Notamacropus eugenii: one gene and its partners. The protein of the gene in region 2 interacts with the protein of the main gene of each other region in a biochemical or structural test. Links are inferred from orthologs where the notes say so. Each region holds a gene or a part of one and is shown on either strand. Other genes may lie near its edges.

Evidence for each region.
Region 1: the proteins of RAN (region 2) and NUTF2 form a complex in vitro, tested with the Homo sapiens proteins (3 studies listed by BioGRID, with this or other methods). The link is inferred for Notamacropus eugenii from reciprocal best matches to the Homo sapiens genes RAN and NUTF2.
Region 3: the proteins of RAN (region 2) and RANGRF form a complex in vitro, tested with the Homo sapiens proteins (2 studies listed by BioGRID). The link is inferred for Notamacropus eugenii from reciprocal best matches to the Homo sapiens genes RAN and RANGRF.
Region 4: the proteins of RAN (region 2) and RCC1 form a complex in vitro, tested with the Homo sapiens proteins (6 studies listed by BioGRID and IntAct, with this or other methods). The link is inferred for Notamacropus eugenii from reciprocal best matches to the Homo sapiens genes RAN and RCC1.

The regions. Positions count from the first base shown.
Region 1 is NC_092872.1:696,159,856-696,167,413, reverse strand, and holds the start of NUTF2 (nuclear transport factor 2), read right to left. Parts: upstream 3,008-7,558; 5' UTR 2,572-3,007; intron 1,562-2,571; exon of another isoform or gene 1,426-1,561; coding exon of another isoform or gene 541-1,425; exon of another isoform or gene 1-540. Other genes in the region: THAP11 (THAP domain-containing protein 11), read right to left, coding at 541-1,425. UniProt on the Homo sapiens protein: Mediates the import of GDP-bound RAN from the cytoplasm into the nucleus which is essential for the function of RAN in cargo receptor-mediated nucleocytoplasmic transport.
Region 2 is NC_092875.1:46,255,120-46,263,089, forward strand, and holds the start of RAN (GTP-binding nuclear protein Ran), read left to right. Parts: upstream 1-4,954; 5' UTR 4,955-5,031; intron 5,032-5,172; exon of another isoform or gene 5,173-5,938; intron 5,939-5,956; exon of another isoform or gene 5,957-6,122; intron 6,123-6,621; 5' UTR 6,622-6,631; coding exon 6,632-6,667; intron 6,668-7,125; coding exon 7,126-7,210; intron 7,211-7,294; coding exon 7,295-7,420; intron 7,421-7,970. UniProt on the Homo sapiens protein: GTPase involved in nucleocytoplasmic transport, participating both to the import and the export from the nucleus of proteins and RNAs. Switches between a cytoplasmic GDP- and a nuclear GTP-bound state by nucleotide exchange and GTP hydrolysis.
Region 3 is NC_092873.1:77,545,384-77,552,151, forward strand, and holds RANGRF (ran guanine nucleotide release factor), read right to left. Parts: upstream 2,192-6,768; 5' UTR 2,073-2,191; intron 1,912-2,072; 5' UTR 1,904-1,911; coding exon 1,827-1,903; intron 1,733-1,826; coding exon 1,616-1,732; intron 1,455-1,615; coding exon 1,301-1,454; intron 1,064-1,300; coding exon 978-1,063; intron 781-977; coding exon 648-780; 3' UTR 506-647; downstream 1-505. Other genes in the region: SLC25A35 (solute carrier family 25 member 35), read left to right, coding at 1-70. UniProt on the Homo sapiens protein: May regulate the intracellular trafficking of RAN. Promotes guanine nucleotide release from RAN and inhibits binding of new GTP by preventing the binding of the RAN guanine nucleotide exchange factor RCC1.
Region 4 is NC_092876.1:69,629,708-69,637,449, reverse strand, and holds the start of RCC1 (regulator of chromosome condensation), read right to left. Parts: upstream 3,015-7,742; 5' UTR 2,938-3,014; intron 2,618-2,937; exon of another isoform or gene 2,572-2,617; intron 1,557-2,571; exon of another isoform or gene 1,264-1,556; 5' UTR 1,228-1,263; intron 969-1,227; exon of another isoform or gene 766-968; intron 697-765; 5' UTR 660-696; intron 594-659; exon of another isoform or gene 393-593; intron 1-392. UniProt on the Homo sapiens protein: Guanine-nucleotide releasing factor that promotes the exchange of Ran-bound GDP by GTP, and thereby plays an important role in RAN-mediated functions in nuclear import and mitosis.

The DNA of each region.
Region 1 (7,558 bases), on a different chromosome or scaffold from region 2:
AACCTGAAGGGTGGAGGGACAAGAGGAAGGGGGAATAAGTATTAGATGCTTCTCGGGACCTGGGTCCCAACTCTGCCTTTATCACTACACAGAAAGGGACTGTCTCTGATCAACTCCAAAGTCAAGTTCCCCACATAGGGCTCCCCGGAGCCCGCCTCCCCGCCCACGGCTCTAAGGATGGGTTCCAAACGGCGATCTCTTTAAATCTCTTTAAATGGTCATCACAAGTCCTGATCATACCAGCTGGTATGACAAATGCACAGAACCGTGGGGGCCCCAGACACCCCAGGCCCCTGCCTCAAGAAGGTGTTTGGGTCAAGTACAGTAATGTCAGAGTCAGGATAAGAGGCCACAAGTGAGGCGCCCGAGCTCATTCCGTCTGAAGTCCAGGACGGCGGATGCCGGGCCAGGAGTCCAACAGCACAGCAAGAGGAAGAGGATGGGTCCCGTCCAGGAGTGGCAGGGGTGAGCCCTACCCCGGCAGGCGGGCCGTGACTCGGGAGTCTGGTCCAGGGGGCAGGCAGGACACGGGGGCCTTCCTCACATGCCGTGCTTCTTTCGGATAACGGCCATGGCCAGCAGCCGGTCCTTCTCGCGGAGCTCCTCCCGAAGCTTGGCCTCGGTGAGCCGCAGGTGGCGGATGCTGCCTTTCATCTCCTTCATCTTCACCTCCATCAGGGCCAGGATGTCTCGCTGCTCGTTCAGCTTCCGCAGCAGCTCTTCCTCCGTGGTGCCCGAGGACAGAGAATAGGAGTGGTCCGAGCCCGTGTCCGGGAAGCCCTCCTCGCCCACCACCACCAGCCTGGGCCCCGAGGCGGCCGCGGGAGCCGCGGGTACGCCGAGCTCTGGGGCGGGGGCCCCCTCGGCCGAGGCGAACTCCACCTGCACCGTCAGGTCGATGGGCTTCACGTCGTCCCCGGCCGGGGGCTGCGGGGGCGCGGCGGGGGCGGCGGGGCCGCTCTCCACGGCCGCCTGCAGGGTGAGCAGCACTGCGGCCGAGGCGGACACCAGGGACGCCTGCGAGGGGGCCGGAAGCGCGGCCGGCGGCGGCTGCGGCTGGGGCTGGGCCGGCTGCTGCTGCTGCTGCAGCTGCTGCTGCTGCTGCTGCCTCCGTCGGGCGGCCGCCCCCGCCGCCCCGCCGCCCCCGGGCCGCCGGGCCTTGCGCTCGTTGACGCCGCGCAGCGGGAAGATGGTGGGGACGCGCACCGTGTAAGTTTTGCGGCCGCCCTGGAAGTGGACGCTGCACAGGCGGTGGCCGGCCGTGGGCTGGAAGGTGGAGAAGCAGCCGCTGACGCCGGCCCGCGACACGTTCTTGAGCCACTGGCGCCGCAGCTCCGCGTCCTTGGGGAAGGTGTAGAAGTGCAGCGCCTTGTCCCGATGCGAGTTGTTGTAGCAGCCCGGCACGCAGCACGTGAAGCCCGGCATCGCGGCGGCCCCGGCCCTCCGACGGCCCCGGCCTCGGGCCTCGGCCGCCGCCCTGGCCGCCGCCGAAGCGCTCGGCCCGGAAAGCTCGGAGGGCCTCGGCCGAGACCCCGGCCTCGGGCTCCGCCTCGGGGCCCGGCCTCACCCCCGGGTCCGGGCCTCGGGACCCCGGGACAACCCACCGACGGGCGAGGCCTCGCCGCTGGCCCGGACCCCTACGCCCCCCACCGGCCGGGCGTCGGCGTCTCGCCCCGCCCCGAGTGGAGCCGGGCCTCTCCTAGCCTCGCTCGCTCTCCTGGGGACGCTCCCCGACGGCCCCCGCGCCGTCCACCCGCCCGCCGGCAGTCCCCGCAGCCACCAGAGCCTGTCAGTCAGTCAGTCAGTCCCGGGGCCGAGACGAAGAAGCGCCCTGGAGGTCGGACTACGCCTCCCACAATGCACCGCGTCGCGCGCTTCCGCCGTTGGCCGCATTGCTTCCGGGGTCAAAGCTGGAGGTGAGGTCAGAATGATTCGGCACTCGCCCGGGAAAAACTATCCGACTGGTGTTCCACCGGGGCGAAGCTCCAGCTCTGGCGGGCGGAACAAGAGATGTTTCTGGACGGATGAACTTAGAGTTCCTTGCGGAACGCCTTACTCCAATTGGAGAACTGCTTTTCCCACAATGCACAGCTTCCCGCGCGCCCCGCCCTCCAGTTCAGGGCGGGGGACTACAACTCTCGGCGGCCAGTGCGCGCGGCTGCGACCCCGCCTCTGCTCTGGGGAGCGCATCTTTTCGTCAACAAGCCCACGCCTCGAGGTGGCGGGCCAGTGTCCCGCCGGGGGCTGGGCGGGAATGATTCCTCGACCCAGTCCTTCCCGGGTCTTTCGCCCGCCCTCTCCCCCATCTGCAGGACTTGGAAACCATCCTGGGCCAAGTGAGGCCCAGAGGGCAGAGGCGACTCGCACTCACCCGGCCAACAAGTGACCAGCAGTTCTTAAGTCCCTGCTGCGTGCCAGACCCTGGGCCGGTCCTGCCTTGTGGTCCAGGGCCCCGCCCCCTGTCCTCGTCCATCTTCCTGCCCTTTCCCATCACTCTCCGCCCCACCCAGCTGTGGCTCCCCAAAATCATCGGGCTGTGTCTTCTGCCCCCCCCCCTCCCGGCCCATTTACCTCTTTTCTCATGGATCGTTTCAAGAGACCCTGGGGTAGGGTCGGAGGGGCGTTGGAGCCTCGGGCTGGTCAGCGTGCTAAGCCCCGAGCCTTGGCTGAATGTCCACCCTCGCCCAGAGGGAGCTTCGGTCTGGTCAGCGTGGGGAGATGGAGATGGCTACAACGCACACGCCCCGCTACAATGGTTACAAAGTAGCAGAGTCCGGGAGGACCGAGGCCGCTGGGCACGGAGTGCCCCCAGACCAGCCCTGCTCAGATGAAGACCCGTCTATCTGAACCCAAAGATAGCGAGGATACAGGGCACGGTTCCGCAGGACCAAGACCAGGTGCCGCTTGGGTCAGCCCAGCCCCTGGCTCCAGGAGACTTCCAGTCCTCCGCTCCCTATAGGAGACCCATTAGGTACTTGTGGCTGGTCTGGTTCTTTGAATTCAGTAGGAGGCTTGATTTGCGATTTTTGAAAACTGTGAGGGAGCTTAGATTTTAATTGGTGTACTGCCGTATTGACAGCTAGCTAAAAGGGGCCAGGAGAATGGGGAAGAGTTAAAGACTCATGAGATTTTCATCCAACTCTCTGTGATCTGAACACTGTGGTCTTCATTCATTCATTCATTCATTCATTCATTCATTCATTCGTTTTGGGTTTTTTTTTTAACAGTATGGAATTGCTCCTACCCCCACCAGACTGGGGCATTTGATCTTCCTTCTTCATTAAAGGACCCTTCTCCTTTGGATTCAGGCAGTCAGGTCCATACAAGATTCATTTCTGGGGTAACCCAGCCTCTAATAAGAGGATTTAGACTCTCATTTTTATTTATTTCATTAAGTATTTCTCCATTTCTTGTAAAAAAATTTAACAATTTTTAAAATTTTGAGTTCCAAATTCTCTCCTTTCTTACCCTCTTCTACCCTTTGAGAAGTCAAGCAATATCTCAAGTATACATGTGAAGCATGCAAAACACTTCCACATTAGACAAGTTTCAAAAGAAAACACACACACATGAAACCCAAGAAAAATTTTTAAAAGTATGCTTAAATTTGCACTCAGAGTTCATCAGTTCTCTCTCTGAAAATGGATGGTATTTGTAATCATGGATCTTTGGGTACCATCTTGGATCATTGTCCTGATCAGTGGCTCTCTTTTTTTAAATTAATTTTTAGTTTTCAACATTCAGTTTTGTAAGATTTTTCCGTTCTAAATTTTCTTCTTCCCTTCTCTCCTCCCCCAGACAGCATGCAATCTGATATAGGCTATACATGTACAATTATATCAAGCATATTTCCACATTAGTCACGTTGTGAAAGAAGAATCAAAACAAAAGGAAAAACCAAAAAAAAAGAGAGAAAATGGTATGCTTTGATCTGCGTTGGGGCTCTACAGTTCTTTCCCTGGATGTGGATAGCATTTTCCATCATGAGTCTTTTGAAATTGTTTTAGATCATTGCATTGTGACAAGAGCTAAATCTATCCAAGCCAGTCATTGTACAATGTTGCTGTTACTGAGTACAATGTTCTCCTCGTTCCGTTCATTTCACTCAGCATCACTTCATGTAAGTCCAGGTTTTTCTGAAGTCAGCCTGCTCATCATTTCTTATGAAACAATAATATTCCATTATCTTCACATACTACAACTTGTTCAGCCATTCATCAGTTGGTGGGCATCCTCTCAATTTCTTTTTTTTTTTTTTGAGGGGGGAAAGCAAGGCAATTGGGGTTAGGTGACTTGATCAAGGTCACACAGCTAGTAATTGTCAAGTGTCTGAGGCCAGATTTGAACTCAGGTTTTCCTGACTCCAGGACCAGTGCTGTATTCACTGTGCCACCCAGCTGCCCCTCAATTTCCAATTCTTTGCCACACAAAAAGAGCTGCTAGAAATATTTTTCTACTTGTGGGTCCTTTTCCCATTTTTATGATCTCTTTGGGATACAGACCTAGTAGTGGCATTGCTGGATCAAAGAGTATGAGCAGTTTTATAGCCCTTTGGGCATAGTTCCAAATTTCTCTCCAGAATGGTTAGATCAGTTCACAATTCCACCAACAATGCATTAGTATTCCAGTTTTCCCATTCTCCAACGTGTATCATTTTCCCATTTTGTCATGTTAGAGGCTGTCCTTTATAAAAACATTTTTTCTATTAAAATTATTTTTCCCTTCCTTCTTCCCAATTAAAAAAGAAAACCAAGTCCCTTGTAACAAAAATGTGTAGTCAAACAAAACAATTTGCCACATTGACTATATTTTAAAATGTATGCCTCATTCTGCATGTTGAGTTCATCACCTTTCATTCAGGAGGTGAATAGCGGTGGTTCTTCACTGATCCTTCCCAGTTAGAGTTGGTCATTGCATTGATTAGAGGACTCAAATCTTTCAAAGTTATTTGCCTTATAGTGTCATATGTTGTATAAATTGTTCTCCAGGTTCTGCTCATTTCCCTGTGGATCACTTTGCACAAATCTTCACAGGTGAAACTGCCTTTTATAATTTTTCCAACAATGGTATTATTAGGCTTTTTCTCACACTAGTAATCCAGAGAAAACTTGCTTTGGTGCCCGTCTATGATCTATTCAAGGTAGGGAGCAGAAAAAGTATTTCATTTACAATGTAAATCAGATATGGGACAGATTTATTTCAAATCAAAACACAACTGGAAATGTACATGTAGAACCCATATAAGACTGCATGTCGTCCTGGGGAGGGGATTTATGGAAGTGATTGTTGAAAACTGAAAACAAATTAATAAATTTGGGGAAAAAAACCCACTGGAACTGGAAGGGAAGCTTTTTCACAGGCGATGAAAAATTTACATGTTAGTTAAGCCAACAGTCATTTATTACATGTTTCACATTAAATTACATCAACAATCATTTCTTGTTTAATATGTGTCAGTAACATGATTGTTATCTAAATGGTTGTAAAGTGGAGAGATAGATAGCACAGATTCTCCAAAGATACAAACAGAAAACAAAATAAAATTTAAACCAATTACCTGAACTCAAGAAGCTCAGAGACTAATGAGTTCTGGGAATGATACTCTGAATTGTCAGGATAATTTTCATTTTAAGTGTTTCACAAAGCACCCCTCCTAAGTTCATCATGAAAATGGTTATTCACAGAGACAGAAAATTATATAGTCACAAGAAATGGGAAGCAGAGCCTGTGCCTGGTTTGGTCCCAGCCCCTCAAGATTCAGAAAAGAATCTAATGCAATTTTAAAAGAATTTTGATGAATCCGGTAGAGTCTTTGGGACCATCTCTGTCAGCCCTTCCAGAATGTTTAGAAGAGACTCCTTTAAGATATACGGTTTATTTTTTTTCCCCAAGTGTGTTGTTTATATTCTAAACCCAAAGTTAAGACCAATTCCTACATCTCCCATAATACAAATTGTTTTTCCACCCCACCACACAATTGCTCTGCATATTACATCTCATTGTGCATGCAACTTTCTTAATTTCTCCACCCTTAAAAATCCTCTTTTCCACCAATTAGTACTTTGTACTTCCCAAATAAAAGGCTCTGTGGGGACTGGAAGAAAAATTAGGAATCTTATACATATCACCTTCAGAGTGATTTCACTGGTTCCAGAAGTTGCTGCTGCTGTTGCTATTGGAGCCACAGAAACCAGGAATGTTCCTTAACCAGCCCTTGGAAATCATCTGTTCCCATTGGTCAAAGAGGTGAAGGGATCTACCTGCCCAGTGTCAAACAGTTAACTAAAACCCTGGTGGTCCCCAGATTCTTTCTCCAGCACACAACAGCATCCCCCCCTCTCCCCCAGCCAACTGAAGAAAATCAAATTCATTGGAGGGCTAGAAACTGTTTAATCAGTTAATTAACATTCAAACATAACTCTCAGAAGTCCCTAATCCCAAAGCATAGCAGAGAGTGACTGGACAATTTACCTCAAGTATTTTCATCTCAGAATTTACTCAATTTTTCTCAAAGGAGGTGGGCAGTGAGGTACAGTGAAAAGCTGTCCAAAAGAGGTCTTGGATTCAAACTGTGCCCCTGATGTTACCTGTGTGACCTTAGAACTTTTTGAGTCAGTTTCTTCAACTGCAAAATGAGGAGGATTTAACTAAATGGCATCTGAGATTCCAACTGAAGTCTTATCCAGCTTATTCTTCCCTGATTAACCCATTTAGTTCTCCTGGCTCACATACTCTGGATCATCCTTTCCTCCATCTATTTACATATCTTCTCCGTTGCCAAGTCATCACCCTGATTCAGGACCTCATTACCTCTCACCTGGACTCTTGTCATTGTCTCCTAATTGCACCTTTCAGGCTGTCTCCAAACATTCCATTCTTCACTCTGATGCCGGAACAATCTTCCAGAACTACAAGTCTGACCACATCTCTTCCCAGTTCAGAAACCTCAGTGTCTCCCCATTACCTTGAAGATAAGATATGAACTCTTCAGTTTGTCATTTAAAGTCCTCACAATCTGCTTCCAACTTACTGTGGAAAGCAGACATATATGCTCCTTGTCTCCCTTTCAATAAAATTAAAGTATTTTAAAATGATAAATTTTATATGTTTAAATTATAAACTTTATAAGTGTTTAAGAATTAACCACTTAGTTAAGAAACTGGCAATGTTCCTGGCAATGGATTAAGGTATCTCAATGGAAAATGCCTCAGTCTAGTTAAGATCCATTGCCTAGCCCCATACTCTGAAAGGAATAGGGCAATGAGAGAACTAAGTGGTCCATAGTAAGTAAAGTTCTGGACCTGGAGTCAGAAAGACCTGAGGTTGAACCCTGCCTCCATCAACTACTAGAAGTGTGATCCTGAGTAAGTCATTAGCCCCTCTTGACTCAGTTTCCTCATCTGTAAAATGGGTATAATAATAGCAGCTACCTCACAGTTGTGAGAATCAGCTGATATAATGTGTGTAAACCTTAAAACTATAGATTACTGTAAGCTATTGTTATTATCAGACTGAAGTCTCTTGAATTCACCTTAGACCAGATGGAAAGGAGAAACTT
Region 2 (7,970 bases):
ACCAGAATTTCCAAAGTGGAAGGGACCTCAGTATCCATCTGGTGTAACCCATACCTGAAAAAAAAAAATCCCTTTTAGATAAAATGGACTATGTTTTTAAAACCTGTATAAACAAAATGAATATAATTACAATTAGAAAGGAAACAACTAAATGGGCAAAAATCTTAGCGGCAAGTTTCTCTAATAAAGATTTTATATTCAAAATATTTAAGGATCTGATTTAAAAATCTATGTATATACAAGAACTATTCCCCAACAGGTATTAGGATAAAAACAGGCAGTTCCCAAAGGAAGAAATCCAAGCAATCAACAACCATAATAAAAAAAAAAACAACCCTTCAAAATCACTCATAATAAAAGAAATACAAATGAAAACAGTTCTGAAGTTCTATCTCACATCCATCAAATTTTAAAAAAGATTGAAAAGATGATAGACTTAAAAAGACAAAAAAAAAAAAAGAAAATGGCAGATTTTGGAGGAGATGTAGAAAAACATGCTGAATCATCTGTTGTTGGTATAGCTGCAAATTGTTCAGCCATTCTGGAAAACAATTTAGCACTATCCCTATAAAGTTACTAAACCATTTTTTTACTCTTTGACTTATGATATCACTATTGGCCTATATTCCAAAAATGTCAAAGGAAGTAAGAAAAGACCCATATATTAAAAGAAATACTAATAGTAGCTTGATTTGTTCTAGTGAAGAACGGAAACTGAAGGAATGCCATCCACTGTATAATGGCTCAATAAATAATGGTATTTGAATGTAATAGAATGTTATTCTGTCATAAGAGGTAATGAAATGAAAGGTTTCAGAGAAACTTGAGAAAAAAAAAACCACAAACTTGTATAAATGGATTCAGAGTGAAGTGAGTAGAACCTAAAGAACAATTTGCTCAATGACCACAACAATGTAAAGTAGAACACACCTTCAGGGATCACTAACCCAACTTCCACGTAAGCAGGCTGGAAACCCAGAGGACAGTTGATTATCTTTCATTCCATGGTTCTAGGGGTAATTCTGAGGTATTAGGGATTTTTCTAGTACTATTTCTCTTGAGCCCCCATCAGTGTACTCCCCATTGCTTAACCAGTTAGTATCAATTAGCAAGTCAGAGTTAATTAACTTTTTAGTTAGGGGTACTATATTTACTAAAGCTGTATAGTAATAATAATTGGCCAAAAACCCCAAAACATTCCCCCCAAAAGACTGGGATATATTCACCCACAACTATATATAGCATCTAGGGGAAATTAGGTTAAACTTTAGAAAATATATATGGCAAAGGGGTAATTCACAGTTCCTTGATAGATGGAAGTCCTTTCTTTCCCTTCCTGGAGTCCTTCTGCAGTTCACTTGAGGTGTGCTCTGAACTCTGAGGGTTGGGGTCCTTTTAGAGTCCATTCGTAGCAGGGCTTCATGTCTGAGCCTGTTGTGTTTGTCTCAGCTCAGGGACCATTAGTTACAGAAGTGAGTGCAAAGGATTGTTGTTATGCTAAGTTCAGAGTACAACTTGCTTGCTGGGCTTTAGCTCTGCAGAACGTGACATCTCCTTATATCTTGATATAAGGAAATTTTTTTCTGATATCAAACCTAAACATCATTCTTGACTTCTCCAGGATCTACTTCTGACTCTTCTGACATCCTCAACCATGCCATGGTAGCCTTCTCACCCTAGAAATTCTCTCTGCCTCTTCTTCTGATTGGTCAACTCCTCCCCAATCCTCTATTTTAAGGAGAGTGCCCAGGCCAGTCAGGTTGTCCTTCTTTTCTGGGCTCCACCCTTGACTCTCTGGACTTTCTCCATCATGCCTAGACCCTGGTACCTTCTCAGCTTCTTTCTATACATTGTTATTGCCTTCCTTCAGGGCAGGAACTATCTTTCCTAATGCTGGTATTTGTATTTCCTGCACTAAGCATAGTATATGTTTGTTTAAAGCCAATTCTTTCTTATATAGTGGATTGAACTACAATAGGTCCCTGTCCAATCTCCACTTAATGACTGTTTTTTGGACCCTCCTGGGTGAGAGGGTCCTCCTAGAGTGAGTCTCAGTGGTAAGTGTTGCTCTTTGGAACAGCAACCCTGAGGGCCTTACCCTCCCAGCTTGACTTTTTTTTATTTTTCTAATTAAAGGGGCCTTCCCTTGACTACTTAAAGAAGCCTATTCACTGAATGGGCATTACCTCACTCTAAGGGAGTACCAAAAAAAGCCTTAGCCTAAAAGGGCAAGCCAGGGTCTCCCTTTGCATCCTGGGCCATCTCCAGTCATCCTGATGAATATCAGGTCACTGGATCCAGATGGCTTATGGGGAGAAAGTGTGACCTTGCACAGCCCTCCTGCACTCAAGTCAAAGTCAACTACAAGTCATGTCATCATTTTCCTGATGTCATGGTCCTCTTTGAAAATGAAGGACAAGTACAGCAACAACTAAGCATAGTGCCTAGGACATAGTAGGAGTTTAATAAATGTTTGTTGATTTCAGTTTGCAACTTTTACCCAATGCTTTTAGTTCTACCTTCTAGGCATGCAGAACCCCGTCTTCCCTGTGTCAGCCCTTCAGATATTTGAAGACAGATACCATGTCTCCTCAGGATTCTCTTATTTAAGCTAAACATACATGCTTGTACAAATAATATTCTCCAGTCCAGATTTTAATTTAGCTTCATGTCCAAAGCATTTGTATTTCCTTGTTACCTCTCAGAATTTCTGGCTTCTTTCAAGGCTCAATTTGTGTCATTTCCTAGAGGAAATCTTCCCTGATGCCCCTGATCATTAGTGTTCTATCAATCTCAAAAAAATCATGTGTGTATATACTTAATAAGTCCCCACTCTGCCTCTTGTAAATTCCTTGAGGGAAATGGATTGGGTTTTGTTTTCTCTTTTTAATCCCACCATTTAGCATGATATTTTAGACATAATGGACACTTAAAAATATTTCTTGGAGTAGACTGGATTGTTGGATTTGCCCATGGAGGAGGGGCAGCACCCTCTCCCAGAATTTCTATCTATGGCTATCTGGCCATTGAACAAGTTCAAAATAGAATGACTACTTGTTGGGAATGTTGTTTCTCTGGTCAATTACAAGTTCCTCTACCAGTGTATTCCAGATTCTCTAGACTTTTTACTGTGCATCAGCCACCTTCTCAGCCTTGAAGTTTCACTAGAGTCAGTGGCTTCCTCACTCTGGAACATCCCTTTGTGCTAAGACCCTCTTTTCTCATTGGGGAGTTCCTTTTGAAACCTCCGTTTTGGGAAAGTGTCCAGGCCAGTCATCCTTCCAGCCTCTCCCAGCTCTACTGGCTCTCCAGACTTTACCACCATTCCTTTAACTCCCAAAACTTTTGTCTTGCCACTGGACTTTGGTGACTCTAGAAGAGAGTGCTAATGCTGCAACTTCAGTTCTCAGATTCAATTCACACACAAGTGAAGACATCACCCTGTGATATTAGTCCTCTTGCAAAACAAGGACAAGCAACAACCACCATCTCCCTGAGCATATACTTTATCCCTCCCCCTCCTTTTTAGGCTGATTTTATTTTTTATCTTCCCCCACTATAATGTGAGTTCTCTGAGAGTAGGAACCTTCAGCTTCACTTTATATGCCTAGCACTAACAGGGTCCCGCACATATTAAGGACATAATAAAAGGTGCTTGATTGACTGATTTGTTTTGACAAGATGTCTTGAAGGTTCCATGAGAGGAAGACTGGTATGATAACAGCTAATATTTATATAATGCCTTCAGGCTTGCAAAGTGTTTTACATGTATTTTACATTTGAGCCTTACCACAACCTTGTGTTTATAATCTTATATCCAATTTGTAAATAAGGAAATTGAGACTCAGAGAATGACAGTGGAAAGAATTGGACCATTCATCCATCATGAATTCAAATCTCAATTTGATACTTTTTCTTATCTGTAAAAGTGATAATATTTAGGCTATTTTACAGGGTTGTTCAGCGAAAAGTGTTTTGTAAACCTTAGTGTTATATAAATGGAAATCATTATTGTATAGAATGTGACCTCTTTGTGGTCAGCAACTGTCAGTTTTTAGTTTTGTATGTCCAGGACTTAGCACAGTATCTTACAAAGAGTCCAGGCAGCTAGGTGGCACAGTAGATAGAGGACTTGAGCCCTTTCTGAGTCAGGAGGACCTGAGTTCAAATATGACCTCAGACACTTAGTAGCTGTGAGACCCTAGCCAAGTCACTTAACCCTCATTGCCTCAAAAAAAGAGATTTTTTAAAAAAAACCTGCTCTGTGCCAAGCGTCTCATCCGATCCTCACAACAAGCCTTGGAGGAGTCTGAGGCAGACAGAGACAGGTTAAGGGGCTGGCCCAGAGTCACACAGCCCGGTGTTTGAAGCCACACTTGAACGCAGCTCTGGGTCCCCAGGATCCACCCTCTGCACCCCTAGCTGCCTGGATTTCTTCCAGCGCTAGGGCTGACCCTCATGGCTGGAGGGGCAGAGGATTCACCCATCCAGACCCTCTCCCTCCCCGTCAGACCCTTTACGCAGCCCCGAACGTGCCCGTGTCCAGCATGGTTAGGATGGGAGTCACTGCAGCTGGACCTGGGCTGGCTGGGTGGCTCAGCCCCGGATGAGCGCATCAGCATTCATCTCCAGCACGTGCACCCTCCCCGCTCTCCATCTACCGGGGGTGAGCCATCCCGGGGCCCAAGCCGGACTGGGCGAAGCTCCTTGGGGGAAGGCGGCTTGGCTCCTCGGAGGACTGCCGAGCCTTTAAATCCCTTGGAGGAGAACCAGCGAGGGTCATCGAGGCGGGCGTGGGGGGCAGCGGGAAGGAGGCCGGGCGAGCCTCCCTGACTCAGTTTCCCCTTCCGTGACGCGAGGGCGCCGTGCCCTCCACACAGGCCGCGCTCCATCAAGGCTTGGGCACGACCTCGCTGTTAGCGAAGGCCGAACCAGAGGGTGCGGATGTTGTCAGCAATAACACCGCGGCGCGTAGGGGGCGCTCTGCGAAGCGCTTCGCCCCGTCTGACGCCCACGGTTAGCTTTATTCTGGTTAGTGCTTTGCGTCTCGGCTTTTGCGGTTTCCTGGAAGGTTCAAGCTCGGACCCTAAAGCCCGGCAGACATCGGGCCTGACGCAGGAGAGGCCCTCGCGTCTCCCGTTGGCGGGAGCCCACCTCCCTCCAGAGGCGGTTGGGGCGCGCGCTCCCAGCAGGTCCTTTGGGGCGCATGCGCACGAGCCGGCTGCGCGCCGAGGCGGGGGCGAGAGCGCGGTGAAAGGTAGGTGGGGCCGGGAAAGAAGGAACTAGAGCTCGAGCGCGCTCCCGCGGCTGCCTCAGCAGGGCCTGGGGGGGCCGCGTGCGCATGCGCACACGCCAACCGGGAGCCGAGGTGGGACCGAGGCCAAGCGCCAGAGCGCGGTAAAGGTAAGGTAAGACGGCATGGATAAATCTCTCCACCGCGGTCTCGCGGTCTCGCGGCATGGATAAATCTCTGCCAGGCTTTTGAGAAGCGCATGCGCAGGGGGGGGAAAGCATGAAGGCGAGAGCGCGGTAAAAGCTTAGCTGGGCGGGGGTAGAAGGGATTAGAGGAGTGGGGAGCGTTCTCGTTTGAGGTGGCGCATGCGCCATAGTCCGCCGCAGCGCTCCCGATTGCATTGTAAAGCCCAAACGTCGGCGCGCCCCCGGTCTGTCAGTCCGTTTCTCTCTTCCCGCCCCCGTCCCCTAGGCCCCGCCCTCTCTCCCTTTTTTGGGGACAGCCGGTAACGTAACGTCGACTTGGGCGCGCGGCGCCCGGAGCACGTGGGGGCACGTTGCGCCGTTGCCCCGCCCCCCTCCGCTCCCCTCGGCCCCTCCCTATTCCGCGCGCGCGGCGGCGTCGGCTGCGTCTCCGGGTATTTGAATCGCGCTTCCGCCATCTTTCCATCGTTCAGTCAGGCGGAGACGGAGACGCTTCTGGAAGGTAGCGGCGGAGTGGGGCGCGGGGGGTTGGCCCGGGCTGGGGAAGGGGGGCCGGGCGGGCGGGTGTTGGACAGGAAGGCATCGAGGACCGACGCTGAGAAGGAGGCGGCGGGCCGGGCTCCCCGTCTCTCCTCCTAGGGGGGTGGGCGGCCGCGGCGGACCGGGCCGGGCTTGGCGCGCTTTGTGTGAGGAGGCCCCGGCCGCCAGGCCGTGCGGAGGCCGCGGATCGTGAGGCAGCCGGGGAAGGGGCGGGAGAGGCTGCGAATGCGGTGCGGGTGCGGTGGGGGGGGCGGCCTAGCCTTCCCTCCCCGCTCCTCCAGCCACTCCCGCCCCTCCCGCCGCGGGCCCCATGACCAGGCGGTTTTCCCGGGCCCGGTCCGGCCTCCACCGCCCCTTTTTGGCGTCTCCTGGAGACGCCCTTCGGGCCCTGACGGTTGAATGAACCCGAGGCTCGGGGGAAAAAAAAGGGCCGCCGCCATTAGCGCCTCATTCATCCCCCTCCTCCTCGCCGTCGGCGCCCCACGCGGGCGGGGGGAGGAGCCGCGGCCTGGGCCGGGGATGAATGGGCCGAGCAGGGGCGCGGAGGGGGCGCTTTGTGGGGCCGCGGGGCACGTGGCGGGGAGGGGGAGCCCGAGCATGCGGCCTCGGGTCCGAGGGCCTGACGCGCTTGTGTCTCTCCCCCAGAACCATCGCGATGGCCGCCCAAGGAGAACCCCAAGTGCAGTTCAAAGTACGTAACTCCTGGGGGGGGCCGAGATCGCCGAGGTGGGGGCTGGGGCGGCTCTTGAGGACACAGGAAAGACCGTTGGATCCCAAGGCCTTGTGATGAGAAGCAGAGTTTGCACGCCCGTATCCCAGCTTACATAACAGGCCTTGAAATAATCTTTATAAATTGATTACCTCCTAAACTGTAGTAAGGCTTTTTCATCCAACAAGGAACTAGTTAGTATTTGCCAAATGAATGTTCCAAAAAAGTATTTAGATGATTTAGTTGATACATAAAACAGTTAAATGTAACCTGAAAACGGTCTGATACTTGATTACTTAAACTGTGGTAGCTCTCTGAATCCACCATAGTATGTGGAAATGGATGTTAAGACATTTAGATGGTATTGTTTGATACATGGAATGGAGAATGTTTGTGTGTGTTTTTGAGAAGTCCACCTAAAATATTTTATTTTTCAACAGCTTGTATTAGTTGGAGATGGAGGTACTGGAAAAACCACATTTGTGAAACGTCACTTGACTGGTGAATTTGAGAAGAAATATGTAGGTATGTATCTTTTTTACAAGTTAGTTGCACCAATTTCAATAAAATAAAATCAGTGAACTAAGTCAAAACCTTTTGCTGTTCCAGCCACCCTGGGTGTTGAGGTCCATCCTCTCGTGTTCCATACTAACAGAGGTCCTATTAAATTCAACGTATGGGATACAGCTGGCCAAGAGAAATTTGGTGGTCTGAGAGATGGTTATTACATCCAAGGTATGTATACAACTGTTTTGCATGTTGTTATATCAGCTGTATGTTGCCAGAAGTTTTTTTCAGATATGTGTATGTATAAACATTTTTACAAGTGACTTCTGGTCTTTGGGGAGCTCCTGTGTTTAATAGAGGACTGAGATTTGAATCTCAGCTGGTCTGCTTGGATATACCAAATCCAAGATGTTTGATGATAGGTAAAATGAAAAGGGTTCAGCTGAAGTTCCTTTCCTTAAGATCTAAAATGGCTATGACCTTATTAAAACAGCAGAAAGGAACCTCCATATATTTTGTCTGAGGTATTAAAGTTGTAGCATAATATTTCATTGGTTAGTCATGTAACATTTAACCAAGTTGTTTCTAATAGGTAAACTTTTATATTTGAATTTTTGAAAGGTACCATGTCAGTGTGCATAGTTGTAAAAATCTTTACACTTTGAAAATAAACTAAATATATAACAGTAAGTGTTGGAGCAAAAATTATAGGACTTAGAACTTGAAATTGGATTTCTCTCAAGCTTACACTGAAGTCTAGAGTGTTTAAGCCCATTGT
Region 3 (6,768 bases), on a different chromosome or scaffold from region 2:
CCCCCATACCATCCTCTCTCTCTTCTTCTGGGATCAGCTTCGATTCTTTTACCAGAAATACAATCAGTGACCACTACTCAACTCCAAATTTTCCCTCAACACACTCCATTTAGGAAGGATTACCTTTCTCCCCCTTGATCTGATATTTCTTGGACCCTTTCATACTTTTAGGTGTTAATGACTGATAATCACTTATTCACTCCAACTCCTCACACCCTTTTTCTCAGGGTCAAATCACTATGTGGGGCACTCCCATCCAATCATCATCACTCCTGCCATCATACACAGCTTACTTACTTACTTACCCTTACTCTCAGGGTTGAATCAATCAAAGGGATATTTTCTTCTTGCCCAGACTGCTAGCTTCCAGTTCCCATGCATAGCTTTAAATCTCCTCCCCCAAAACCAAAGGGAACTGGAGGGACCTATTTTCATCCCTGCCTCTAGATTCAAATTGTATAAATGCTTCCTCCATCTCCCCTCCACCAAAGCCACAGAGATTGTATTGGTATAAAGCAAGTTTATTTCTGCAAAGGTGGCGCCTTATGTCTGTCTGTGGAACAGGGGATATGAGGGAAACCCCAACCATCAATCCCTTGCTTCTGTTGGGGAATCCAGACATTCAGACACCAGCAGCAGAGGGCAGTTCAGGATCTTTCCCGTGGGCCAAAGATGCTGGGGTCAAGGAGAGTCAGGGAAGACACTAGTCTTTCAAAGTCAACCAGGGTCCAGGGTGGGAGGCATTGGGCTTCATGGCCTTGGGGTGGCCTACTCCCAGAGCTGGGGAAGAGAATAAAAGGATTACACAGGGCTCCGATTTCTTCCTCCACAGCAAACAGGCATTTTCCCCTGCCACTCCCACACCCCACACCTCCTCCTCCTTTCAGCTCCTCCACCAGCAAGAATTCCCCCAGCCTTCCCCTCTTCCCCAATCCCCCATCAGTGACCCAGTCATCCAGCCCAGACGCTCCATTTACCTCGGCTCATTGAAAGTCAGCAGGAGGTCAGTCCCATATTGGGGCAATCGGAACAAGGCCAGGTGTAAGATCACATCCTTTTCATTCTGTGGGCAGCAGAATCAGCTCAGATTATTGTGCAATCAGCCAGTGTCGGAGCTGCCGGGACCCCGAAGGTCATCCCTCCTTTTCCCTGGCTTCGAAGCCCTTTCCTCTGAACTCCACTCCCGCTCTTCCTTCCACCACCCATTCCAGCCCCTGGCTGGGCTTCCCGCAGGGTCTTCTTCGACATCCCCCTCCTCCTCCCGCAGACCACTCTCCCTAGCCAACCCCAAAGCCCTCACCTCCTCGCTCTCCTTGACCACACGCTGCCGTCCACAGAGGACCCAGGCTTCCCGGCAGCCCCGAAGAGACAGAGCGTGGGGGGAGAGAGGCTCCACAGCCTCGACTTGCTCGCTCCCTGTCCCTTGCACCCCTCCCAGAGCCTCGAAGTGGTACCTAGATGGGGAGGGCGAGAAGAAAGGGGGGGAGAGCGTGACAATTTCAGACACACCCTCCCTGCAGAGGAGGCCCGTAGGCCACGCCTCCTCCTCCACTGGAATTCATAGCACTTTCCCATTGGCTAGAAAAATGCCCCCGCCCCCGGCGGAGGAGCTCACCGCGCTGCTGCTTCTCCTTGCACGTGCGCCTGCAGCTCCAGGAGCTCCACGATGAGACTCTGCTCCGTCCCGCGGTGGCAGAAAACTTCCTGGTTGTCCGGTACCGGCCGGAAATCACTGAGGGGCAGAGGCCGAGTATGAGCACGATAACCTGCCCCCCCGCTGTCCCGCAGGCTCCCGTACCCCCCCACACCCGGCAGTGACCTCTGACCTCACGTCCAGAGCCCCTGGAGGAAGGGTGATGGAGAAGGCTCCCCCGAACAGCGGATGATTTCGTTTGGGCTCCATAGACGGGTCTGTAAGGGGGCGGCGAGAGAAGGGAAAAAGTTTGTGGAGGAGCGATGCATTCCCTCCCCTCCCCCCGCCAGCGTCCTTAGCCGTGAAGGCGGGGCGGGGGCAGGTGGGGAGAGTGGGCACATGTTCTCTCATCCTCCGGGCCATCGCGTTCTTTCCTTACCTAGTAGTCTTCGTTCTTCTTTGGTTGGGGGCCCTTTAAGGTCTGGCCCCGCCCCCCGACCCAGCCACCCAATGGGCGCCGCCACCTCCCCCCCCTTGGTCTGCCGGGCTAAACTCAACTGCCTAAAAGATGGAGGAGGCGGTGGGGTCAAATATCTTGCCGAGGACCAATGGGAGAGATGAGCAGGGTCTCTGGTTTTGTGACGTATACGGCAGGCTCCCTGGGGGCCACTCATGGCACGGCCCTGGCCTCTTCTTAAAGAGGCTGCCGCTAAGGTAAAAAAGGCTGAGAAGAGTAGGAGGACAGGACGCCGTTGCGGGTTCAGCGTTTGTGTTCTCCGCTTGGTTCGGAAGGACCGGACGCCGGTGCCCCTCCCGCAGGCCTCTCCTCAGCCGCCGGAATAGTATCCAGTTTTTATCAGTTAATCCCCGGGGACTAGCTGCGAGATTAAGGAAACCAAGGGACCAGGTGCCGGACCCTCCCCAGCGCTCCAAACGCACACGCCCCTTCCTGGTCCCTGGAACCCGAGACGCCAGCCACTAATTGCTTGAGTAACCCAAGTAATGCCCGCGGCTCCTTTCCCGGGAGCGCTACGGGGAGTGCAGGCGTGGGAGAGTGGGGCGGTGCAGATCTGGCCGCAGGGCTGGATTCCTCGGACTTGGGCACGGGAACACCCAGGTTCCAAGAGTGGGAACAAAGATTTCCAAGGTCATCCCGTCCCACCCACAGCTGAAAGGAAAGTCAAAGCATTCTTCTTCAGCTTGATGGGGTCCGCAGGATCCTGAATTTGGAGTCCAAGGAGACCTGGGTTTGAATTACGGGTCTGCCACTTGGAGGGGGTTGGACTCCAGTGGCATAGCTCCAGATGGGTGATCTATCCTTGTAAGTAACAGTGGAGAAGTTAATTGTCTTGTAATTCCACTTTCGTACAACGCTGGGACTTGGAGCTGCTGACGCTAGGGTCAAACCCCTCCCTGCCATTTACCATTTGTATGACAGGGCTACAGCAACATATTCCACCTCCCTCATTTTACAGATGAGGAAACCAAGGCTCAAAGGGATTCAATGACTTGTCCGGGGTTACATAGCTAGTGTCAGACCTGTCTTTCAGACCCAAGTCTTCCTGGCTACAAGTCCACTACTTTTTTCACTCCTCTTCACTCAAAAATCTTAGACTTTAGGATTATTAGGAATTTCATTATGAAGTTGCCTTTCTGCAACTTCTACACCTTGCTCCCATATTATTAAATCCTTTTCCTTCCCTGTTTAGGGTGTTTGAGTTGAGACAGGAATTATATCTCAACTTTCTCCACCCCCACCCCCAATATACTTCTTCCCATTTCCCATTAGGGAAGTCTATATGAGGCCTAATCTTCTTGTGTCCAAGAGATGGCTTCCCCTTCCTTAAAATCCCACAGTCTGCAGTTCTACAAGCCCCTTCTTTGACTCTTATCTTGGTGATGGGGTTTCCCATCTCTTCTCCGGGCCAAGAAGTGTTCTGCCTCTGAGTCAGAACTGGAATAAAACATTTGTGTGCTTCACTGGAGACCGGGTTTGAAAATTGTACTACCCTCCTTCTCCTAGGGTCTCCTACCTCTAGTCCACCCCCATCCCCAGGAGATTGTGAAGCCAAATAACTGTATTTATACAAGATGAAAATCTGAGCTGAAATCATGATCTTGAGGTGACCTTTGGTGCTATGCTGATGAAGCACAAACCTCTTTCCCCCCTCAACCCCGCCCCAACTCCCTGCCCAGTTCTAGCATGAGGGGTTGAGGCCTCCCCCAGAGTACCTGTGCCATGTACCAGACTGAACTAGTTCTAACTGGAGCTCTCAGAAAAACTTGACAAAATGAGAGCTTTGAAGCAAATTTTTATGTTGGTTTTCTTGACTGAAGGGCTTGAGCGTAGAGGGAGGATGGAAAACCTGTTTAAGGCCCCCATCCCGTATCTCCTCTATCATCTCTTCTCAGCTTCTAATCTCAGGAATTTAAACTTTGTAGGACAGGAGGGGAGGACAAAGCACCTAGACAGCAAGGCAAAGCTGAAGCTGCAGAGGATGAAGAAGGTAGAAGACAAAATCATCCTTTTTCAGCTTCCCCTCTACACTACACCCCCACTCTCAGCCTAGCACCTAAAATGGAAAGAGGAATGGGATTCACTCCATCTATCTCGATCTGAGAGTAGTGTTATAGATGTAGAAATCAACAAACATAAAGTTGTATCTTTAATTAAATGTCTACAATGTTCAATGTACCATACCAGGTGCTGTAGGCAATACAAAACCAGTTTATAAGACTAGTAATGCCCCAAAGAAAGAACCAGTCTGCCTAGTAAAACAGGACATTCATGAGTTAATTTCATTTCAATGGAGCACTAAGGCCTAACTCAAGTCTGGGATAGTACTCATTGATATGTTTGTATATTAGAGGGTGCAGAGAGGTCAAGAAGGTTGAGGATTGAGAAAAAGGCTTTAAGATTTGGTCGTTAAGAGATCTCTGATAATTTGGGGGAGAGAAGTTCCAGTTAAATAGTGAGGTCAGAAACCAGACTACAGAGGTAAGAAAAGAGTAAGAGGAAAGGAGTGGAAGAATCAATGACAGATCACTTTCTCAAGGAATTTATCCACAAGACAGGATGATTGTTAATGGGGATGGCTAGGTCAATCAAATGAAGGGTTTTTTTTGGGGGGGGGGGGGGTGGAAAACTAGAGGGGACAGAGAGAGGCATGTTTGTAGACCAGAGTAGCAGTCAGTAGATGGAGAGATAAGTGAGTGGGGATAATGAGGCAGATAATCTGCTAGAGAAGATGGGAAGGGATAGGATCACTAATGTGTGTAGAAGAATGTGCCTTGGTAAGAAGGGCCACTTCATGAGAGACAGTAATGGTATAGTGTGGGAAAACATTTGACTGATGCAAGATGAGGGGGAGGGGAGAAGAGCTCTTGGCAAATGGCCTCAATTTTTTTTAACATTAAGGCAAGGTTCTCAGCAGGAAGGGTGGGGAGAGGGGTTGCTATGGGAAGTTTGAGGAGGAATAAAAAGATTTGGAAGAGCTGTTACATGATGAGTAGGACAGTAAGTTAATTAGAAGGAGTGTAAGTGTATAGTCTTGTTTAGCAGCAGTGAGGTTTAAATTGGTAGTGGACCCAGTCAGCAGGATTATGATTTTCTCCAGCTTCATTCTGAAGCATGTGAGTAGGAGGGAAGGCACTTTCCTGGTTTTAAAAAAGTGGAAGTAAAGAGAGGAGAAAGAGGACAGGATAGGGGTTCACAGTAATCCTTACTGTGAATGTGAAGAAATTGTAAAATGAAAGTTATAAGAATGGATTTGAAAAACAATCCCAGGGATGAAACAAGGATGTCCATTATCACTCGTTATTCAACACGGTACTAGAAATGTTAGCTTTAGCAATAAGACAAAAAGAAATTGAAGGAATTAGAGTAGGCAAAGAAGAAACAAAGCTATCTCTCTTTGCAGATATGATGATATACTTAGAGAATCATGTAAAAAATTACTTGAAAAACAGAATCCCAAAATATGTTGGGATTCTATGGAACATGGGTCACAAAACCAAAGATTTACAGTTAAAATGAGATGGAGCAAAAATCTATTATGCTTCAGCTGAACGAAAACAAAAAAGCGTGAGTAGTAATCATTACAGATGTTACAGTAAATACAGATGTAACACTGACTACCCTCGCTCCCACTGTCAAGTCCAGGTAGGTGAGATTTCGCTCTTCCCCCACGGTTCTCCGGTACTTATGGGGATTTGGGGTTTAGGTTCTCTGCAATGGCTCCAGCTTCCATTGATGGTGTTCCCTTGTACTCTAGTTCTGTTTAACCCCCAGAGAGTCAAATTAGCTTTGACAAAGCAATATTTACTTCAGAAAGTATAATCACAAATTTATTCCCCCAATTCGTGGACCTCCTTATATGACCTCAGTCTCTATAGAGGGGAAGATTAGGTTTATAGCTTAGCTCAATTCCAGTAGAGTAGAGGGCCTCTTCCCCATCCCCCAACCCCAAGATTAATAACCCTGGGGGTAGCCAGACACTCTGGCTTCTCTGGAGCTAGTCCAGCTGGCTACACTAGCCAGTCCAATCCTGGACAAAAGGTCACTCAAACACCCCAGGCTAATGGAGATCACCTCCAGCACCTGAAACAGGACAAACAACACAGAACAGAAACAAGTACTTCCAGTTCCATTTCTGGAGACAAGTTCAAAGAGGGTGCAGGACTCACTTTGGTATGAAAACCTATCTTACAATATAGGAAAGTAGCAGAGAAGGGGATAAGCAGGGTGGGGGGGATGATGGAAGGGAGGGCATGGGGAGGAGGGAGCAATTTGAAGTCAACACTTGGGGAGGGACAGGATCAAAAGAGAGAATAGAAGCAATGGGGGGCAGGATAGGATGGAGGGAAATATAGTTAGTCTTACACAACACGACTATTATGGAAGTCATTTGCAAAACTACACAGATATGGCCTATATTGAACTGCCTGCCTTCCCAAAGGGAATGAGTGGGGAGGGAGGGATGAAGAGAAGTTGAAACTCAAAGATTTAGGAACAACTGTCGAGTACTGTTCTTGCCACTAGGAAATAAGAAATACAGGTAATGGGGTATAGAAAGTTATCTGGCCCTACAGGACAAAAGAGAAGATGGGGATGAGGGAAGGGAGGGATGATAGAA
Region 4 (7,742 bases), on a different chromosome or scaffold from region 2:
TTTTCCTTTTTCTACCACACTTACCTTTGCGCCTTGGGGAAGACTGATCCGGTTTCGTTGTGCACTTGAATGATTCTTGAAATACTTGACCTACCTATACAAAGAGCTTCTGCAGTATCTGTAACAGTCATTGAAGCATGCTCTTTAAGAGCTATAACTTCTACATGTTTCACTGGAGAAATAGCCATTTTTAAAACCACAAGATATAAGGTGGGGTCAGCCTTGGGTCAATAAAAGCATATATGTATGACCACTTGATCCCAAGTAACATCACAAGCTGCTGAGACATGTTTTAAAATCCTGTTCTTACCTAAAAAAATTAAAAAAAAACAAACATGTTTTACAACCCCAATAATACACACCAATAACCAGCAATAATTATGTTAAATTCAAGTTGTTCCCTGCATGGTTTGTCTCCTCAGTCACAGTCCAAAGACCCTGAGAAGGTTTAGGAATATGCAGGTGCAGACACAAGGCCCGGCTTGATATCCAACGTTGTGGAATGGGACTGTACGTCTTAGGGCAAGGGCCCTACGCTCCCTTTCGCCACCTGGACAGAGCCTGGGGAGTGATCCTCAGGATATCCACGTTGGAATGGATGACTTAAGACAAGTGACAAGTGACAAGCTCCGAGCAGGAAAAAAATAAGAATCACTCACCTATTGTCAAGAAGAAACACTCCACGCTAAGACAATACTGAAAAAAAGAGAAAGAATAATTTAGTCCTATCCCAACATCAAACTATGTAACAATACTCTGGGACAGTGCTGTTTCCTGCATGGTTTGTCTCCTCAGTCACAGTTCAAAGACTCTGAGAAGGTTTAGGAATATGCAGGTGCAGACACAAGGCCCAGCTTGATATCCAACGTTGTGGAATGGGACTTTATGTCACAGGGCAAGAGCCCTACACTCCCTCCCGCCACACAGACAGCCTGGAGAGGTTCATCTCTCCAGGGTATCCACGTTGGATATTGAAAGATATTAAAAAAGGAACATCAAACTAAAACTTGACACATGATCCGACGTAGAGGATTCAACTCCAGATGATGCTAAGTTACCAATTACAATTTATGGGAAAGTGCTATGACTCCAATGTCTAGTTAACTAATACGTTTTCCACAGGTTGACTGAAAAATATCAGCTTCTACAGGCAATGTTTTAAATACCTCCCAAAGATAACAATGAAATTATTAATAGCGCCACATCTTTAAGAAAATGTCAACTCACCCCAGCTGTTTTCCAGACTTGTCTGTTATGAAAACCCTAAAGAGCAAGAGGAAAGAGATTTTCAAAGCAAGAAAGAACAAAAAAAATATCCTATCTAGGTTCAGCGTGCAAGTTACTGAAGCAATAACAGTTGTTTCCTGCATGGTTTGTCTCCTCAGTCACAGTCCAAAGACTCTGAGAAGGTTTAGGAATATGCAGGTGCAGACACAAGGCCCGGCTTGATATCCAACGTTGTGGAATGGGACTGTACGTCTTAGGGCAAGGGCCCTACGCTCCCTTTCGCCACCTGGACAGAGCCTGGGCTCATCTAGCCAGGATATCCACGTTGGATATTCAAGGGAGATTTAACTGACTCAACAAAAATTGAAACGACCCACTGAATTTTGTACATATAGCCTTGTCAATCAGTTATTTCCTACAAACATAGGTCATTCCCTTAAGCATGCCCAAAGATCCCACCCATGGCAGAAGGGCTCCAAGACAAACTTTTCTTTGTAGAGATATGGAAATGATTTCCACAACACTTGGCCCCTCCAAGAGGATTCGGAGTAGAAATTTTTTTACAAGATTCCTCTAAATACTGAGTCAAATCCTATCTGAAGGTTAGTTGTACTGAGTCCAGCCACTGTAAACCGTTACTTTTACACTGCCAGGTGCCCCCCCCCTTCTTTCCTTACATAAAGATTACACATTTGATCAAGCCACTCCCCTGATCAATAAACTTCAGTCTCTGTGAAGAGGTCTCTCCTGGCACTTTAAGCTCTTTCAGTTACTCCATCCCACTCTAACACATTCCATTACAGCCACCCGTACTTAACTGCTCCCTATAGGGGGTACTACATCCCCACGTGGCTGTGGTTTTCACACATGGCTCCCATTCCCCAGCATGGGCTCAGCACCCAGCGACTTCTGAAGCCTATCAGAGGCGCGGTGCCCACCTTCTCCACCGGTGTAACAGCTTCTACGCCATTCCTTTCCGCCCCTTTCCTCCCCACTGCAGCCTGGCGACTAAGGAAGCTCCCTGAGGGCTGGGATCACGTCTTCCACCGCCTGTTTACGTATTACTTTAGTGCTTCCCCCCAATCTGCGGCATATTACTACCCCCTAACAAAGACGTGGACACTGAGGTTAAGAGACCAGCTGGATGCCCCCGGGTGCCTCCCACTCTTCAGCCGTGAACCACTGGGGGGAGGAATCAATCCCCAGTCACTACGCACGCTAGCACGCGTTACTAAGGGGCCTTTACTGAACGAACTGAAACAAGTCTTTCCTGGAGAAGGAATAAACATTAAACACCTCCTGCGTACCAGGGAGGTACCGCAGACTTTACAAACGTTATCTCACATTTGATATTCTGAGGTCGGATTAGAACTCGGTCCTGCCCAGCTTCGGGCCCCTTGCACCGGCCGGCCCCCTGCTGCTGGGCAGCCGCCGGCCCGGCCGGGGGTGACGGCGGATGGGGCTCGAGGGCCCCGGGGAGCGGGTGGGATGGGGACCCAGGCATGAGCGGGAGGCTCTGCGCACGCGCCTTGGCGGCGGCCGCATGGCGGCCAAACTTTTCCTGCAGCTAAAAAGGGAAGGAGAAAAAAGGGGATCCGAAAGAGAAAGCCGGAGCCAGGGGGCAGGGGGCAGGGGGCAGGGGGCAGGGGGCAGGGGGCAGGCATGCGGAGAGACCAGGGTAGAGGCTGACAGAGCCACACCCTTACTTACCTCTACGACTGACAAAACAACTCCACCGTCACCGCCGAAAGAGAGAAGCACCCCCTGAGCACGCCCATTTATACCCGGATTGGGGCGCGCAGCGGCTTCTGAGCAGGCGCACATTTTGGCGTCGCACCGCGAGAGTTCGAAGTAGCTTGGGGCGGAAGTGACGAAAGAAATGGCGACAGTCGCACGACAGGATCGAGAAATCTCGCGAGATATCTGTCCGTGAGCTCCTTCGGTTGGGCTTTTTTTTTTTTTTTTAAGTTTGTTTCCCAGGTGCGCCTTGCGGCGGGGAGCCAAAGTGGTTTGGCTACATTGTAGCTCAGGCGCCTACCTTGTGCTGAGTGGAGGAAAATGAAGGTTACTCTTTTCCTTAGAGCCCTGACTTTCAGTTCATTTAAGAAAGCATTTATTAAGTGCCAACTGTGCTGTAAGAGCAGAGAGGAAAATAAAAGAATCCTTGTACTCAAGGATTATTAATTCAGGTCCACACCTCCTCGTGCAAGCATGGATTAGCTTCCATTTAATTGCCCCTCTTAAGCTTGCCAAGGGCTTTACAGGTATCTCCTTTGATCCTCGGGAACCCTGAGTGGGAGGGGCTGTTACTATCCCCATTTTACCGATGGGGAAACTCAGACAGATGTAAATTAACTTGCCCAGGGTCGCAGGATCTGAGCTCGAGGCTCCTGGAACTTTAAAGTCAGGGACTCTATTATAAACGAATGAATGAAAAAAACATTTATTTAGCTCTTCCTGTGTGCAAAAAAGTGTACCATGGGCTGGAGATATAAATAGAAAAGAGCTTACATCTGAAAGAAGATAAGATATATAATGCATCAATAAACATGTATTAAGTGCCTTCTGTGGACCCTATACTGTGCCAAGAATTTGAGATACAAAAGGTGGCAAAATTCAGTCTCTGTCCTGAAGGAGTTCAGAATCTAAAGGGGGAGACAATGGGCAAATACATCCAAAGTAAGTTGTATACAGCATAAATAGGAGATAATTAACAGAAAGAAGGCATTGGAATTAAAAGGGGTTGGGGAAGACTTCCTGTAGGAGATGGGATTTTAGTCCTGACTTAAAGGAAGCCAGGCAGGTCAGTAGTTGGAGCTGAGAAGGGAGAGCATTCCAGGCATAGGGGACAACCAGAGAATATGGAGAGGTGGAATATCTTGTTGTAGCAATAGCCAGGAAGCCAATGTCACTGGATAGAAGAGGACATGTCAGGGAGTAAGGGATAAAGAAGATGGAAAGGTAAGAGAAGGCGAGATTATGAAGGGTTTCAAGTGGCAAATAGAATTTTGTATTTGATCCTGGAGGCAATAGGGAGCCAGTGGAGTTTATAGTTATAGAGTAAGGTGGGGGGGGGGGGGATAGGATCTGTGTTTTAAGACAATCGCTTTAGTGTTTGATGATGAGAACCTGCATCAGAATGGCGGCAGTGTCAGAAGAAAGAAAGGAGCATATTGGAGAGATGGTGCAAAGGTGAAATCTACAGGTCTTGACCATAACTTGGATACGGGGAGTAAGAGATAGTAAAGGTATTGATAATGTTTAATATAAAATTTTGGAATAATCTCTTTGTTCTCTCTGAAGCAAACTCAGAGAATGCCTCTTCCTATGTCAGCAAAAGCCAGCCAAAGCTGACTCTGCACTCCTTGGGAGACCTTTAACCTATGACATATATTGAATAATGGGACTTCCCTTTATATCTTATTATCTATAGACACATACGATGTTATGACATATCTTGAATAATGGACACATACTATGTTATGGGATATTAATGGTAAAGAAAAAATAGGCATCCTGGGTTTCTATTGAACATTGTTTGCCCTTTCCTGTGTCAGTTACCTGTTTGGGGCAGGAAGCCTGCCACTTACTAGTGGTGGGATTTCCTTACCACCTGGGACATATGTTTACCCAGCTTGGAATCTCAAGACCTGACTGACATTGCTTTGTTAATTGTCCTGTCTTACTGAATTTATGATTTGCTTAATTAGGAGAGTTTCTTTCTCATGGCAAAATGTACTTAAGACAGATAATTTCTGTACTAGGTAGTCAGAGTCACCTCTGAGTCCATAGCGCTATGTAACTGTTTTCTTTATGGGGAATTGATCAATTAATTAATTAAATCATAAAATGTATGCATTTAGCCATGTTGCCTTTTCTTAACAAAGTTTTCAGGTCAACAGTATACAAGAGGACTTCTAGGTTGGGAGCCTGAGGAGAATGCTGTTGCCCTCTACAATAACCGAGAAGGTAGCAAGGAAGAAGGGATTAGGGGGATAGATCATGAGTTCTGTTTTGGAGATATTGAGTTTAAGATGTCTCCTGGACACCCAGTTTGAGATGTCTGAAAGGCAGTTGGAAAGGTGAGATTGGAGATCAGCAGAGAAGATGGAGTAGGAAAAGTAGATTTGAGAATCATCAACATAGAGATGATTATTAAATCCATGGCAGCTGATGAGATCACCAGGTGAAGTAGTATAGAAGGAGAAGAGAAGAGAGCTCAGGACGGAGCCCTGTGGGACACCTATGGGCATGATTTGGAAGAGGATCCAGGAAGAAAAGACAGTGGTTAGTAAGGTAGGAGGGGAACCAGGAGAGAGTGGTACCTCAAAATCCTAGAGAGAAGTGAGTATGAAGGAGGAGAGGGTGATCAACAGAAAAGCCACAGAGAGGGAAAGGAAAATGAGAATTGAGAAAAGGCTTTGGCAACTAAGAGGTCATTGTTGTTGTCTGTTAGTAACTTTGTAGACAGCAGTTTTGGTGGAATGATAAGGTCAGACTCCAGATCTTAAGATCTGAAGAAGAGGGTGAGGAAAGAAAGTGGAGGTAGCTATTGGAGATAGCTTTTGTGAGGAGGTTAGCTGTTATTTGTCCTTCATTCTCGAAAGGGGACCATGACATCAGAGAGGTGACATGCAAGTGAGTTGGATTTAACTGAGGGAGGACTGTGCAAAGTCACCAGCCTGACTTTCTTCTCCAGAGTCATCTGGGTCCAGTGGCAAGATACAGATCAGGATGACTGGAAATGGCCCTGGATGCAGTGGGAGACCTTGTCCTTTTTAAGCTAAGGTCTTTAACAGGTCTCAGTTTGATGGAAAAAATGCACAATAAGTGATTAAGGCTAGGTAAGAAATGAACCAGAGAATAAAAAATGAATCAATCTGGGAGGGAAAGGCCCTCAGAGTTTCTGGCCAAAACAGAAACAATTACTATTTACATTCACTCTGAATCAATCAGGGCTCAAATAATGACCAAGTGAGGCTTGGCCTGGGACTATTGTTGGCCAATCAATGAGTGCCAGAGTGATTTGGGTTTAGGCGTGGTCCTTAATGAAAAAAAATCTAGACCATAAGCCCCAAAACAGCCTGCAAGGTTTCAGTGATCAAAATTTACATTCCTTTGGTCAGAGCACTAGCAGGCAAGGGTATGATACCCTTTGTGGACAGTGGGAAGAGAAGGGAAGGGAAAGGAGAGAGAGAGAGGTGAAAGAAGGAAGGAAGGAAGGAAGGAAGGAAGGAAGGAAGGAAGGAAGGAAGGAAGGAAGGAAGGAAGGAAGAGTTATGTTGCCCAACTGGCCAGTTCCAGTTGGGTCTCTAGTCAGCAGCTCCTACTACTACTCACAGAGGTTGTTATTTGTCCTTTGTTCTTGAAGAGGACCATGACATCAGGAAAGTGATACCATAACATGCAAGTGAATTGGATTTAAGTGAGGGAGGACAGTGCAAAGTCACCAGTCTCACTTTCTTTTTCAGAGCTATTTGGGTCCAGTGGCAAGATATAGATCAGAAGGACTAGAGATGACCCTGGGAGCTGTGGTTGTTTGGTATGGCAATGAATAATTAAATCAATTTGGGTAGTATAATTTTTATTACACTGGCATGAGTAATAAATATGTACCTATACTTAGTTAGGTCTATTTAATTTTTGTCACCTTTAACAATTGTTGGAGAGGCTACAATTAAAAAAACACACAGATTCACAACTAGTGCACTCTGGAAAACAACCTAGAACTATGCCCCACCAAAGTCACTAAACTTAGGGTATTTGAGGGAGAATCAATCTATATGTTGAGTATGAGGGCAAGAGTTGGGGAGGAGAGAAAAACTGTAATGCAGTTATTAAACTCATTGGGGGAGGAAGGGGAGTGACTTGAGATCTGTAGACAACAGCTTACCAGAATTTTTACTGGGTGGCAGATATGGATAACATGAACCCCAAGGAACAGAGGTTACTAAGTGATGAAGGAAGGGGGAAAACTAGGAAGTAGCAATGGGGAGGAGTATTCCAAACTCCCCACCACAACTAAAGAGAATTAATGAAAGTACAGCCAGTGATATAAAGGGTGGCCAGGGATCCTATGTGATCAGAGGTGCTGACCTCAAAACTTTGTTAGAGAAAAGGCAACAGGCTAAATGCATACATTTTATGATTTAATTAATTAATCAATTCCCCATAAAGAAAACGGTAACATAGCACTATGGAGCCAGGATCAGAACTGGCTGACTTAGTACAGAAATTGACTGTCTTAAGTATATTTTGCCATGAGGAAGGAGTTCTCTTAGATAAACACATTGTAAACAAAGTGTCGTCAGTTGAGTTTTATGATCCCAAGCTATGGGCATCTTCTTTCCATAGCATGTCTCTGTGATTTAAGATAAGGAAAAAGTCCCATCACCGGGATAACAGATATCCTCTCCTAAACAGGCCTTTGAAGTTGTTTATCTTAACAAAGTTTGACAAAGCTGAAGTCACACCCCAAGGTATTTGTGTTTTTCTCTTAACACTAGGATGCTAGA